Arabidopsis thaliana: one gene and its partner. The protein of the gene in region 1 interacts with the protein of each later gene in a pairwise test. Each region holds a gene or a part of one and is shown in the gene's direction. Other genes may lie near its edges.

Region 1 (7,983 bases):
GTTGCGATGTAACGACAAAACTTGTCGTAGACATTACAGATCTTGTTCCACCCAACTTCTTCGTTTCCTTTCAACGCTATGTACGCAACTCCTCCCGCCGTTCCCGTTGCAGACGCCAAAATCCCCAGCATCACCTGTTCATATATACATATTCCGGAATTATTACTTAAAACACCCTAATTAACATGGTATATGGAAGTTTCAAAGTTCCTTGTAAAACAAGTTACCATGTCTAACGAGGCTAGGTAAATGGAGAACTGTGCAGTGAACTCAGGTTTCAAGAGTAGAGAGATGGAGACAAGTGTTGATATGAGCGCATAGAAACTAGCTACCACGAGAGCAACCACGAAGTATCTGCATAGATATATAGCCAATTTAACACATTAAGTTTAAACTAGAAAACATTCCATGATTATGATCAAACATGGAGGAATTTAATTAATTAAAGAGACAAACATGAAAGCGGGCGAGTCATTGAACTCGGCGGAGACAGGAGCCGGAGACGAAACTCCAGGGAGCTGAGTCATCTCTGTCTGGTCGCTAGTCACCATTACTATAAGAGCAGTCAGAGTGGCGGAGAAAAGCAGAACTCTTGTTATAATGTCTATTTTACGACAATCTAGGAAACTGGCGGCTGATGAGGGTGGTGGTGTAGCCGACGCGGGAATCGGTTCAGATTTGCCAGTTTCAGGGTCAGGGTTCTCAGTAGACGCCATCAGATGATTCTATAACTCTTTTGTGGATTAGGTTGTGGTTAAGTTTGGACTGTGAGTTATGAAGTTGGCCGCTACATGAGATTATTTGTGAGTATATATATATAGATAGTCCCGGTGATGAGTTGTAGTTATTACCCACACGCCAAGAAACAAATTTATATTTATTTACACTATTCACTAATGTATATATACAGGAACATGAATATCAATTCATTTAATTTCTAGCTTGCATTTTTCATTGTTTAAAATTTCGAAATAGTTTTTGGAAAATTCACTAGATGTTGTAGTTTTATTTCAACGTTAACATATAATGTTTGTTACAACAAATTTTGCATGCATATCTATTTTTGATTAATAGAAAAATTAATATATTTCTATAGGTATAAGTTATGGATAATGTAGATATATACAATGGGAATGTGTTAGGCCAACCCCGGGAAGGTTGGTGAGGAAATTGGGCGACGGTAATCAAAAACAAAATACAAAAAAGGAGAGTAAAGAACAGTAGGAGTGGTTAACCAATCATCTGCATGAAAAAGGTAATTTTATACATGCTCTTAGGTATCACTTTGCTTTCTGCTTGTGGCTGCAAATCATGTAAATGGATATCTTATTTTATGTAAAAACATTAAACTGCAAGAAACAAATGTCCCAGTAGCATGACCACTTCAGCACTTCTCAAACATATTATAATGTTTTAACATGGATAAAGCTATTTCAGATACTAATCCAGTCGAAATAGAGTAGTTTTGTCTTAGCAAAATCACCAAACTTTATCTCTTGATACCAATACAGAGTGACTGCACAAGTCTGAGAACAACACAAAAAAAGTCAGACCTAACAGTAATAATATATATGAACTCATCATGATTTTTATTTCATATCTTAATAATACCTAACTGGTTTTAGTAAATCCAAATATATAAAATTAGAGATAGCTTTAACAAATTGGGGGCGATGATCAATCACAAAGATTAAAAATAGTGTAACTGGAGAATCTTTCTCGAGCAGCTCCAGCATAGTAATAAGTTGGGGAAAATATCGGGCTTGAAAGTGGGTCTTATGGGTCAGTCAGGCCCAACTATGATTAAACAAAGCCCAAATCGCGAATGTTCCAAAACAACTCTCTTGCTCAGGTGGCGGGTAATTAATTACTAATTCCCCGTTCGATGAAGCGACTAGTTACATCGTAGCCATATATTTATTCAGCTTAATCAACGGTTACAAATTACCCTGAAGCTTCGGTCGTTTTGCAATTTGTATCTAAAGTTTCACTTTTTTTTTAAAATCTTTATTTTACTTTCTCACAAGCGAAGCGAACCCTCGATCTCAAGGCGAAAGCAGATTTCGTAGCTTCCATGGCGAGAAATTCGAATTCCGATGAGGCTTTCTCGTCAGAGGAGGAAGAAGAGCGGGTTAAGGATAATGAAGAAGAAGATGAGGAGGAGCTCGAGGCTGTTGCTCGTTCTTCTGGCTCCGACGATGACGAAGTAGCCGCCGCCGACGAATCACCAGTCTCCGACGGAGAGGCTGCTCCCGTAGAAGATGATTACGAGGTAGCTGCAGGCTAATTTCGTTTTGATGGCTGTGATTTTTGAAATCTCAGTGAACTGCATCTTTTTTGTACTTGGAAAGTTGAAATTTCATTTAATGCAATGGATTCGGCGTTCGCGTCTTCCTTCGTTTGTTAGTTTTAGTCGAATTTTTGTTGAGTGAAAGTTCATTGAATGTCTGCGCATGGTGGCTCATTGTGGTATAAGCAGGACGAAGAAGATGAGGAAAAAGCTGAAATCAGCAAACGTGAGAAAGCCAGACTTAAAGAGATGCAGAAGTTGAAGAAGCAGAAGATTCAAGAGATGCTGGAGTCGCAGAATGCTTCCATTGACGCGGATATGGTGCGTTGTTTGAACTATATATTTCAGGTTTTTAGCTACTTTTCGTTCTCGTGCTTTTAAGTTCTGACGATTCTGAATCATTCCATGTGTTTTAGAACAATAAGGGAAAAGGGAGACTGAAGTATCTTCTGCAGCAAACTGAGTTATTTGCCCACTTTGCTAAAAGTGATGGATCTTCTTCTCAGAAGAAGGCAAAAGGAAGGTGTGTTAGATGCAATTTTTTCCTAAAATATCGGTTCATCATTGCTTCTAGCTTCAGAGTAAATATGATGAGCCAGGCCCTGATTTATGTGGTTTTAACTTCTACCTTCAGGGGACGTCATGCTTCCAAAATAACTGAAGAGGAGGAAGACGAAGAGTATCTAAAGGAAGAAGAGGATGGCTTAACTGGATCTGGAAACACACGGTTACTCACACAGCCCTCTTGTAAGTACCTGTATTTTGCTCTTTAGTCTAGGATTACTGTATATTAATCGTCTCTCTAGTCTCGAGCAACAAGTACAATATGATTGACATCTCCGTCCATTTGCGTAACCATACATATTTTTGTGACCTCACAGTTAGTATGTAGTATAGCGTAAATTACTGGGAAAGCTTGAGATTCATCTATTTTTCTTCTCAATCGACAGGTATTCAAGGGAAGATGAGAGATTACCAATTAGCTGGTTTGAACTGGCTCATTCGTCTTTATGAGAATGGCATAAATGGAATTCTTGCTGATGAAATGGTAAATAATTCTCCCCCAACGATCCAAGCAGAATAAGTTCTCTATATTCTGTCATGCTAATCATGAAACTTTTTTTTCCCTGTGGTCTAGGGTCTGGGGAAGACGCTTCAAACGATTTCTTTGTTGGCATATCTTCATGAATACAGGGGAATCAATGGTCCCCATATGGTGGTTGCTCCAAAATCAACACTTGGTAATTGGATGAACGAAATTCGCCGGTTTTGTCCTGTCCTACGTGCTGTGAAGTTCCTTGGTAATCCTGAGGAGAGGGTAAGTCATGAGCTGTCTGCCATTTCAGAATTTCATGTAAACGTTTATCCCAGGATTCTGAAATGTCTGCTAACTGATGCAGAGACATATTCGAGAAGACCTGCTAGTTGCTGGGAAATTTGATATTTGTGTCACAAGCTTTGAGATGGCCATCAAAGAGAAGACAGCACTTCGTCGGTTTAGCTGGCGTTATATTATCATTGATGAAGCGCATCGAATCAAGAACGAGAATTCACTCCTTTCTAAAACCATGAGACTTTTTAGCACCAATTATCGGCTTCTTATCACGGGGACCCCCCTTCAGGTGTTTGCTCTATCTTATTCTTGAATATTTGGACATTGAAGTTTTCTTTGTTAAGTTGCTTCTAATTGAATGTTGAAACAACCTTTCTTGTACGGCTCTGTTTGCACTCTTAACTTTTGCTTTTCCGGGCACTTTTAATATTTACCGTATAATGACTGTGTAGCCTGCTGTACTCATATTGTCCTCATATATGCAGAATAATCTCCATGAACTGTGGGCTCTTCTAAATTTTCTTCTGCCTGAGATTTTTAGTTCAGCAGAGACTTTTGATGAATGGTTTCAAATTTCTGGTGAGAATGACCAGCAAGAAGTTGTGCAACAACTGCACAAGGTATGGATGCACCCATTCCTTGCATTGAGTTTATTCTGTTCTGTGTGAGTCGTAGGTTAATTGCTTTCATGTATCTTTTTAGGTTCTTCGACCATTTCTTCTTCGAAGACTAAAGTCAGATGTTGAGAAAGGTTTGCCACCGAAGAAGGAGACCATACTTAAAGTTGGTATGTCTCAGATGCAAAAGCAATACTACAAGGCTTTACTGCAGAAGGATCTTGAAGCGGTTAATGCTGGTGGAGAACGCAAACGTCTGCTAAACATTGCAATGCAACTGCGTAAATGCTGCAATCACCCCTATCTCTTCCAGGGTGCAGAACCTGGTCCCCCATATACCACAGGAGATCACCTTATAACAAATGCTGGTAAGGCTAGAAATAAACTAGATCCTTCAGATTTCTGTGGAAGTTTTTTATGAAGCATCTCTATATTGTTATTTTAGGTAAGATGGTTCTCTTGGATAAATTGCTTCCTAAGTTGAAAGAACGTGATTCAAGGGTGCTGATATTTTCTCAGGTAAACGCTAATACAGAACAGCTGGATATAATGGTTTCTTACAGTTCATCTTCTCTTTTTCCTTTGTCTATGTAAAGTCTGAGCCTTATTCTTTTCTTTCCACATGTCAGATGACAAGACTTTTGGATATTCTTGAGGACTATTTAATGTATCGTGGTTACTTGTATTGCCGTATTGATGGAAACACTGGTGGTGACGAACGAGATGCCTCCATAGAAGCCTACAACAAGCCAGGAAGTGAGAAATTTGTTTTCTTGTTATCTACTAGAGCTGGAGGGCTTGGTATCAATCTTGCTACTGCAGATGTTGTGATCCTTTACGATAGTGATTGGTAAGTCTCTCATCATTGTCCACTGTAGTTTATGAACTTTCTCTTCACGTTTGACGAGTCTGGCATATTCTGGCAGGAACCCACAAGTCGACTTGCAAGCTCAGGATCGTGCCCATAGGATTGGTCAAAAAAAAGAAGTTCAAGTGTTTCGATTCTGCACTGAGGTTGGTCTCCTCTCCGTGAATTTCAAGTTAAAACAGCCATGAGAGGTTTAAAATTAATTATGTGTTGTTTGTTTACAGTCTGCTATTGAGGAGAAAGTGATTGAAAGAGCTTACAAGAAGTTAGCACTTGATGCTCTGGTTATTCAACAAGGGAGATTGGCAGAACAGAAAAGTAAGTGCGTTATACAGTGATTGCTTTATGCATTGGTTCATCTCTGACAGAATTGGTATTTATCTTAACTATGCAGCTGTCAATAAGGATGAGTTGCTTCAAATGGTAAGATATGGTGCTGAGATGGTGTTCAGTTCTAAAGATAGCACAATCACAGACGAGGATATTGATAGAATCATTGCCAAAGGAGAAGAGGCAACAGCTGAACTTGATGCTAAGATGAAGAAATTCACAGAAGATGCTATACAGTTTAAAATGGATGACAGTAAGGGTGTCACTTACCTACTATTTCCCCTATTAGGTTGTGTGAATATTGTAATGTTTTGATAATCTGTTGTTTTATTTGTTGTAGGTGCTGACTTCTATGATTTTGATGATGACAATAAGGTAACTTGTATATTTCTTTGCATAGTCTTAACTTTCATGTCATATCCCTAGCTTTGCTCTGCATTACTGATGATAAAATTTACTAATATATTTGTAAATTTGTTCATAGGATGAAAACAAGCTCGATTTTAAAAAGATTGTAAGCGACAATTGGAATGATCCCCCCAAGCGGGAGAGAAAGCGCAAGTAATGATTACTTCTGTCTTATACATTGTGCAGTCCTATTTTGCCAGTCTTCATATCTAAAAGAAACATCCCTTTTGTTTTATCTACTGTATCTTCAGCTACTCTGAATCTGAGTACTTTAAGCAAACATTGCGGCAAGGTGCTCCAGCTAAACCTAAAGAGCCTAGAATTCCGCGCATGCCCCAGTTGTGAGTACCTCAACAACCTCCATCTCATTGTTGAATGCCTTTTCCCTGTTTTGATGATTTTCTTACACTAGAAATCTAATTTATTGTCCCTCTTTCAGGCACGATTTCCAGTTCTTTAACATTCAGAGATTGACCGAGTTGTATGAAAAGGAAGTACGTTATCTCATGGTAGGCCTCTCTCAAAACGAAACACTTGATTCCTTTGATGTGCTTAAGAGCGAGTTTTTTTGCCTTATAAAAGCAACTTGCTTCTTTTTGTGCTTTTTGGTTTCAGCAAACACATCAGAAAAATCAGTTGAAAGACACAATTGATGTTGAAGAACCAGAAGGTCAAGCTTGTACCCACTTTGTTAACATGTACCCACTTTGTTAACATGTTTTTCAGCAAACCTATTACTGATTAAGAATTTTTTTGTTAGAAGGTGGGGATCCCTTAACTACTGAAGAAGTAGAAGAAAAGGAGGGATTATTGGAGGAGGCAAGTGAATATGTTTGATGTTAGAGTGGTCTTAGACATTTGATTTGGTAGGCTTTAATTAATTTTTTGTAATTGTCAATCTCCAGGGTTTCTCAACATGGAGCAGAAGAGATTTTAATACTTTCCTCAGGGCTTGTGAGAAGTATGGCCGCAACGACATAAAAAGCATTGCCTCTGAGATGGAAGGGAAAACAGAGGAAGAAGTTGAAAGATATGCCAAAGTATTTAAAGAGCGGTACAAGGAGCTGAACGGTAAGTAACACCTTTCAATGCTAAGTTATGCAGTGTTTTTACATGTTTCTAAGTAATTCCTACCTCCAAAAAGAGCTTATGCTAAGTAAGTTTATCATCTTTCCCTCTAAATATGTAGACTATGATAGAATCATTAAGAACATTGAGAGGGGAGAGGCAAGGATCTCTAGGAAAGACGAAATCATGAAGGCCATAGGGAAGAAACTGGATCGCTACAGAAACCCTTGGCTGGAACTGAAGATTCAATATGGTCAGAACAAAGGCAAGCTGTACAATGAAGAGTGTGACCGTTTCATGGTATGTCTTTTTCTCGTTTCCCTTTTTGCTGTTCTGTCTCATTAATTATATCATGAAGTTTTTGACTGTTGAGGAACTTTGGTGGTGAAAAACAGATCTGCATGATTCACAAACTTGGTTATGGGAATTGGGATGAGCTAAAGGCAGCATTTAGGACATCGTCTGTGTTCAGGTTTGACTGGTTTGTGAAATCCCGCACGAGTCAGGAACTTGCAAGAAGATGCGACACTCTGATTCGACTGATCGAGAAAGAGAACCAGGAGTTTGATGAAAGAGAGAGGCAAGCCCGCAAAGAGAAGAAGCTCGCGAAGGTAAAATAATGCAATATTTTCATGTATAAGGTTGTATTCTTTTGATTTGATTTCTTTAGGTGGTTAATGCTTTTCTGGTTTTTAATCTTTGAAGAGTGCAACACCATCAAAGCGACCTTTAGGAAGACAAGCAAGTGAGAGTCCTTCATCGACGAAGAAGCGGAAGCACCTGTCGATGAGATGAGATTATGTGTTTACGGATCTGTCGAGTCTTTGTTGTTACATATAGTTAAGCTAATGTTAAAAACATAGCAAATGGATTTCATTCTGCTTTCATGAATGTTTGTCCTGGTTTGACTTGGATTTAATGAAATGACTTAATTATAATTTTGTAGACTTCTCTTCCGTAAAGAAACTGAACAAAAGGATTTGAGGCCATTGGATGGCAACTTAGGCTGAAGCTTAAGCAAAAGTTATGAGTTTCTGAGGGATATATGAACAGACGATTTTTTCCACAA
Region 2 (4,663 bases), on another chromosome or scaffold:
CAATCGAGATCAGATCTCGGCGTTGAAACCGCCGTTTGATTTGGTTATTGCGGCGGATGTTGTGTATATTGAGGAATCTGTAGGGCAATTAGTGACGGCGATGGAGTTGCTTGTGGCGGATGATGGTGCGGTGTTGTTAGGTTATCAGATTAGGTCACCGGAAGCTGATAAGTTGTTTTGGGAGTTATGCGACATCGTTTTTAAGATTGAGAAAGTTCCTCATGAGCATCTGCATTCTGATTATGCTTATGAAGAAACTGATGTTTATATCTTTAGGAAGAAGGTGAAGAAGAATGAAGCTGAATCAGTGTCATGAAGCTAGTTTTGGTTCTGTAATGTTGTTGTTACATTGATATGTAATTTGTTTCTTGTTATAGAATTCGAATTATCTCAACTATTTATATTTTCTTAGATATTGGCTACTAAAAGATGACAAAGGCTGAAATCAAATTTTTGTAACGATTTTTTTAAGAAGTATACAAGTTTTGTTGTGTGTTTTTGAAATATATACAAAGTAAGTTCTCTTGCCCAAAGAAATATGTGAAGTAACCAACATTGTGTTTCTATATTAGACTGATAAATTTGTTCACAAATGTATTTGTAGAACTCTCAATTGGGTGATTGTATTTGCGAGTTTTATTCCACATCGTTGTGGAGCGGCTGCGGTTGAAGAACCAAAGTTCGGATTAGAAACAGCTCGAACAAGCCAATCCCAAATCAAACCGCATACATACGTGATATGGTATTTCTATAGTGAAGGAAGTGTCAGGGTATTACTTTCACCTTTCAATGTTAGCTCTCTACTCATATCATAATCTATGGAAGGAAAAACAAAATTAAAAAATAGAGGAAAAAAAATGATCTATATATCGGACATGTAATTTTTAGAGCACACATATTATCACTAGAGAATCCCATCTAAGCACATGTTATGATGTTTGTAGTAAGAGTTCTCATATATATATGTATATGGTGTAAGACACTGATGACAGTTCTCATATATATATGTATATGGTGTAAGACACTGATGACAGTAACCAAATATGCCGTTTTGAGCAGCCACATTCAACAATTTATGAAATATAATCAAAATCTAAATTGTTCTTGAAATCAAACTTAAACACTTCCATCTTTCTTTGTTCTTTGCATAATAAAGCTCTTCATGAGCTATTCAATTTCTATCTTAATATTTCTCAAGCTTAATGGGCATCAGTCTAATCTTGTTTATTACAATTTGAAGTTCATGATGATTAAAAGGGGGAGCTAAACCACATTTTCTATATGCTAAGGTCGTAGCTAAAGCATCTAGAATCATTTTCACTAAGAAATATATTCTCTCTTCCAAACTACACGTTTACTCTTATGAAGATTGGAAAATCAGAGTAAAAAAAAATGAATCGATTGGACGACAAAAGAAATTAATAAACAGGCTTAGTTATGGGCTAATTTGGATAATGGGCCTTTATAGAACCAAATCAGTGAAAACTACTATAAAAAAAAGTAAGCGGTTGGATTTATTACATGAACTGGGCAACGGTCAGGTCCAAGATCCAAACACAAAGCGACAAAACACAAGTCCAAAGAAGAAAAAATATATTTATTTTAAAATTAAATTTGATAAATGCAAAGCGAGAGAAACAAAGAGAGAGAAACGCGAGCCCTGAATCAAACTCCCTCGATTTTCACAAAAACCAACCCAAAGAAAAAAAAGAAAAGAATCTGACAATTCACCAAACAACTCTCTCAAAGTCTTAAATTAAAATTTTTTGTCAATCAATTCACAAACTCAAATATCTTTTTATTTTTCAATATAAATTTTCGAAGGAAAAAAAGAAAAGTAGAAAAAAATCATGATTATGAAAGAAACGAATAGTCAGAGGCAAAACACTGTTGTTGTTGTTCGTTCGTTCGTTCGATTGTTGTTGCTGTTCTTCTTCTCACGATTTCATCTTTTATTTCTTTTAATATTAAAATTGTTCTCGGTTTATATTAATGATCTTGTCGATATTGCGAGACTAAAATGTTTAATGTTTTTGATTTTATTTGTGAAATTCCCAATCACATTCTTAGTAGTAGAGAGAGAAAGGTTTTTTCTTTTTGGTCTTTTGGTGGACAGATTTTTATTCTTCTTTACTTCTTCTTCCTCTTTTTCGTCAAACCATAAACAATAATCCAAACCCTTTGTTCTTCAGATATGTTCTTCTCTTGACACACACCTAATCTTTCTCCACCAAAATTTCCGACCAAGTCTCATACTTTTGATCTGTTTTTCAACTTTCTCATCAGCCCAAGTAAGTATTTTTTTCTTACCCATGACTGAAATCAATTTCATTAGTTTTTGTAATTTCTAGGGTTTCCAATTTTGTGGATTTGGGGATTGTTGCAGAAAATGGAAGGTGGGTCTGAAAAAACAACACCTGAAGGTTGTGGTGGTGAGAGTAAGTCTAAACGGAAAATGAAAACTGCTGCTCAACTTGAAGTTCTTGAAAACACTTATTCAGGTTTGTTTCTGTCTTCCTCCATTGTTTTTATATGAAGTTTCTGTTTTGTGTTTTTATAAGTGAAAGTTTTGTGTTTTAATTTTATTTTCAGCTGAGCCTTATCCTTCGGAAGCTATAAGAGCGGATCTCTCAGTGAAACTGAATCTTTCCGATAGACAGTTACAGATGTGGTTTTGTCACCGGCGGCTTAAAGAACGGAAATCTACTACGCCGAGCAAACGTCAGCGTAAGGAGTTAGTAACTCCAACGGCTATGGAATCCTGGGAACCACCCGTCAATGCCGGTGATTTAGTGGCGGGAAATGAGCTTGATTCTAGAAGAGCTGCTCGAGGCAGTGGCGGTAGTGGTGTGACGGTTGTGAGGCGGTTTAATGAACCGTCTTCTGCTGAGGTTAGAGCTATTGGTTATGTTGAAGCTCAATTGGGAGAGCGGTTGAGAGATAACGGACCGGTTCTTGGAATGGAGTTTGATCCTTTACCTCCTGGTGCATTTGGCATGCCTATTGGTATATAACTACTATACAACACTATATTTTGCTTCTTAGTATCGATAGAAATGTTGCTTAATTAGCTATAATGTTTGCAGAGATGCCAAGCCATCGCAAGGCGACTAGGCAAGCTTTCGAGACCAACATATATGTCCGATCCGATGTCAAGCCTATCAAAGTTAGTTTTCTATTAGTATTGATTGTCTCATGATATGTTGTTGTTGATGCTTGAATCTTTTTTTGTTAGTTCTCAATGATTTGTCATTTTTACATTTTAGGATCATGTGAGGCCTATTCGTGAATATCAGTTCATTCCTGAGCTGCCATCTTCGAGGACTGATCATTCGGAACGAGTTTCTCCGTCACATCATTTTGGAGTTCCACTTGATGGTTCGGTTATGAGGGTTTCAGCTGTGTCTGCTGGACATCGGGATGACTATAAAATTTCACCTCAGATACCAAATTTGAATCTTGCAACTCATCAAGGGAAGCCGGGGCATGTCTATTCGCCTAACTTGGTCGAATATGACTCACCGTATCAGAAAAGCTACATGGATACTGCTGCACAAGTTCATGATGATCCTTTTGTGAAATCAGAGAGAGAAGTTGGTAATGAGGATGAGGATGATGATGCCCTGCAATTAGAGAGACACCGCAAGGTTTGTAAACGAGGTTTTCGTGCGAATTTTTTGTATTGTATAAATAGCTGGCAACTGTACTCATAATTTTTTCTCCTTTATATATTCATTGTAGAATGAAGAAGCAAGAATAGCTCGGGAAGTCGAGGCTCATGAGAAGAGGATCCGAAGGGAACTAGAGAAACAAGATATGCTGAGGCGAAAGGTCTTGTTCTGATTTAAGCTAAGCACATACGTTTTTAACTGTATTTGTTGTTTGTGTTCATTGTGTCAATTGGTTTTGCAGAGAGAAGAGCAAATAAGGAAAGAAATGGAGAGGCAAGATCGTGAAAGACGGAAAGAGGAAGAACGTCTTTTACGTGAAAAACAGAGAGAGGAAGAGAGGTACCTTAAAGAGCAGATGCGAGAGTTGCAGCGAAGAGAGAAGTTCTTGAAGAAAGAAACAATCAGGGTAATGTGAAATATGCGCTACATTTAAGTTTCTTGAGAACTCACTTGAAATGTTGTTTACTCATTAGCATCTCTTATTATGACTAGGCTGAGAAAATGCGACAAAAAGAAGAGATGCGTAAAGAAAAAGAGGTTGCCAGGCTTAAAGCTGCTAATGAGAGGGCCATTGCTCGTAAGATCGCAAAGGAATCTATGGAACTTATTGAAGATGAACGCTTAGAGCTCATGGAGGTTGCTGCGTTAACAAAAGGCTTGCCTTCAATGCTCGCCCTTGACTTTGAAACTCTACAGAACCTCGATGAATATAGAGGTGAATCAATAACTCATTTTGTTTTATTTTATCTATTTTTCTGATTCATTTCAGCTGTTTATGGGAATTGTATCTTACATTCATCTGATGGATTATATTATTTCAGACAAGCAGGCAATATTTCCCCCAACATCTGTAAAATTGAAAAAGCCCTTTGCAGTCAAGCCGTGGAATGGTTCTGATGAGAATGTTGCAAATCTTCTTATGGTGACTTTTCCCATCTTATCTGTCGTTAAATTTTTCCACTTTGATGTGAATCTCAATAACAGTATATACA

The links.
Region 2: the proteins of CHR11 (region 1) and RLT2 interact in a protein complementation assay, tested with the Arabidopsis thaliana proteins (2 studies listed by BioGRID).

Annotation. Positions count from the first base shown.
Region 1 is NC_003074.8:1,938,992-1,946,974, forward strand, and holds CHR11 (chromatin-remodeling protein 11), read left to right. Parts: upstream 1-1,981; 5' UTR 1,982-2,074; coding exon 2,075-2,272; intron 2,273-2,479; coding exon 2,480-2,611; intron 2,612-2,706; coding exon 2,707-2,813; intron 2,814-2,924; coding exon 2,925-3,037; intron 3,038-3,240; coding exon 3,241-3,338; intron 3,339-3,428; coding exon 3,429-3,608; intron 3,609-3,690; coding exon 3,691-3,912; intron 3,913-4,108; coding exon 4,109-4,243; intron 4,244-4,325; coding exon 4,326-4,608; intron 4,609-4,685; coding exon 4,686-4,759; intron 4,760-4,869; coding exon 4,870-5,090; intron 5,091-5,166; coding exon 5,167-5,254; intron 5,255-5,332; coding exon 5,333-5,426; intron 5,427-5,502; coding exon 5,503-5,697; intron 5,698-5,778; coding exon 5,779-5,813; intron 5,814-5,922; coding exon 5,923-5,999; intron 6,000-6,097; coding exon 6,098-6,187; intron 6,188-6,285; coding exon 6,286-6,355; intron 6,356-6,461; coding exon 6,462-6,516; intron 6,517-6,606; and 12 more. Other genes in the region: AT3G06390 (Uncharacterized protein family (UPF0497)), read right to left, coding at 1-134, 228-354, 457-716. UniProt on the Arabidopsis thaliana protein: Possesses intrinsic ATP-dependent nucleosome-remodeling activity. Constitutes the catalytic subunit of several complexes capable of forming ordered nucleosome arrays on chromatin. Involved in the formation of nucleosome distribution patterns.
Region 2 is NC_003076.8:17,780,783-17,785,445, forward strand, and holds the start of RLT2 (Homeodomain-like transcriptional regulator), read left to right. Parts: upstream 1-1,645; 5' UTR 1,646-2,291; intron 2,292-2,386; 5' UTR 2,387-2,389; coding exon 2,390-2,501; intron 2,502-2,592; coding exon 2,593-3,006; intron 3,007-3,086; coding exon 3,087-3,166; intron 3,167-3,266; coding exon 3,267-3,647; intron 3,648-3,741; coding exon 3,742-3,831; intron 3,832-3,912; coding exon 3,913-4,077; intron 4,078-4,163; coding exon 4,164-4,386; intron 4,387-4,492; coding exon 4,493-4,593; intron 4,594-4,663. Other genes in the region: AT5G44170 (S-adenosyl-L-methionine-dependent methyltransferases superfamily protein), read left to right, coding at 1-316. UniProt on the Arabidopsis thaliana protein: Transcriptional regulator required for the maintenance of the plant vegetative phase.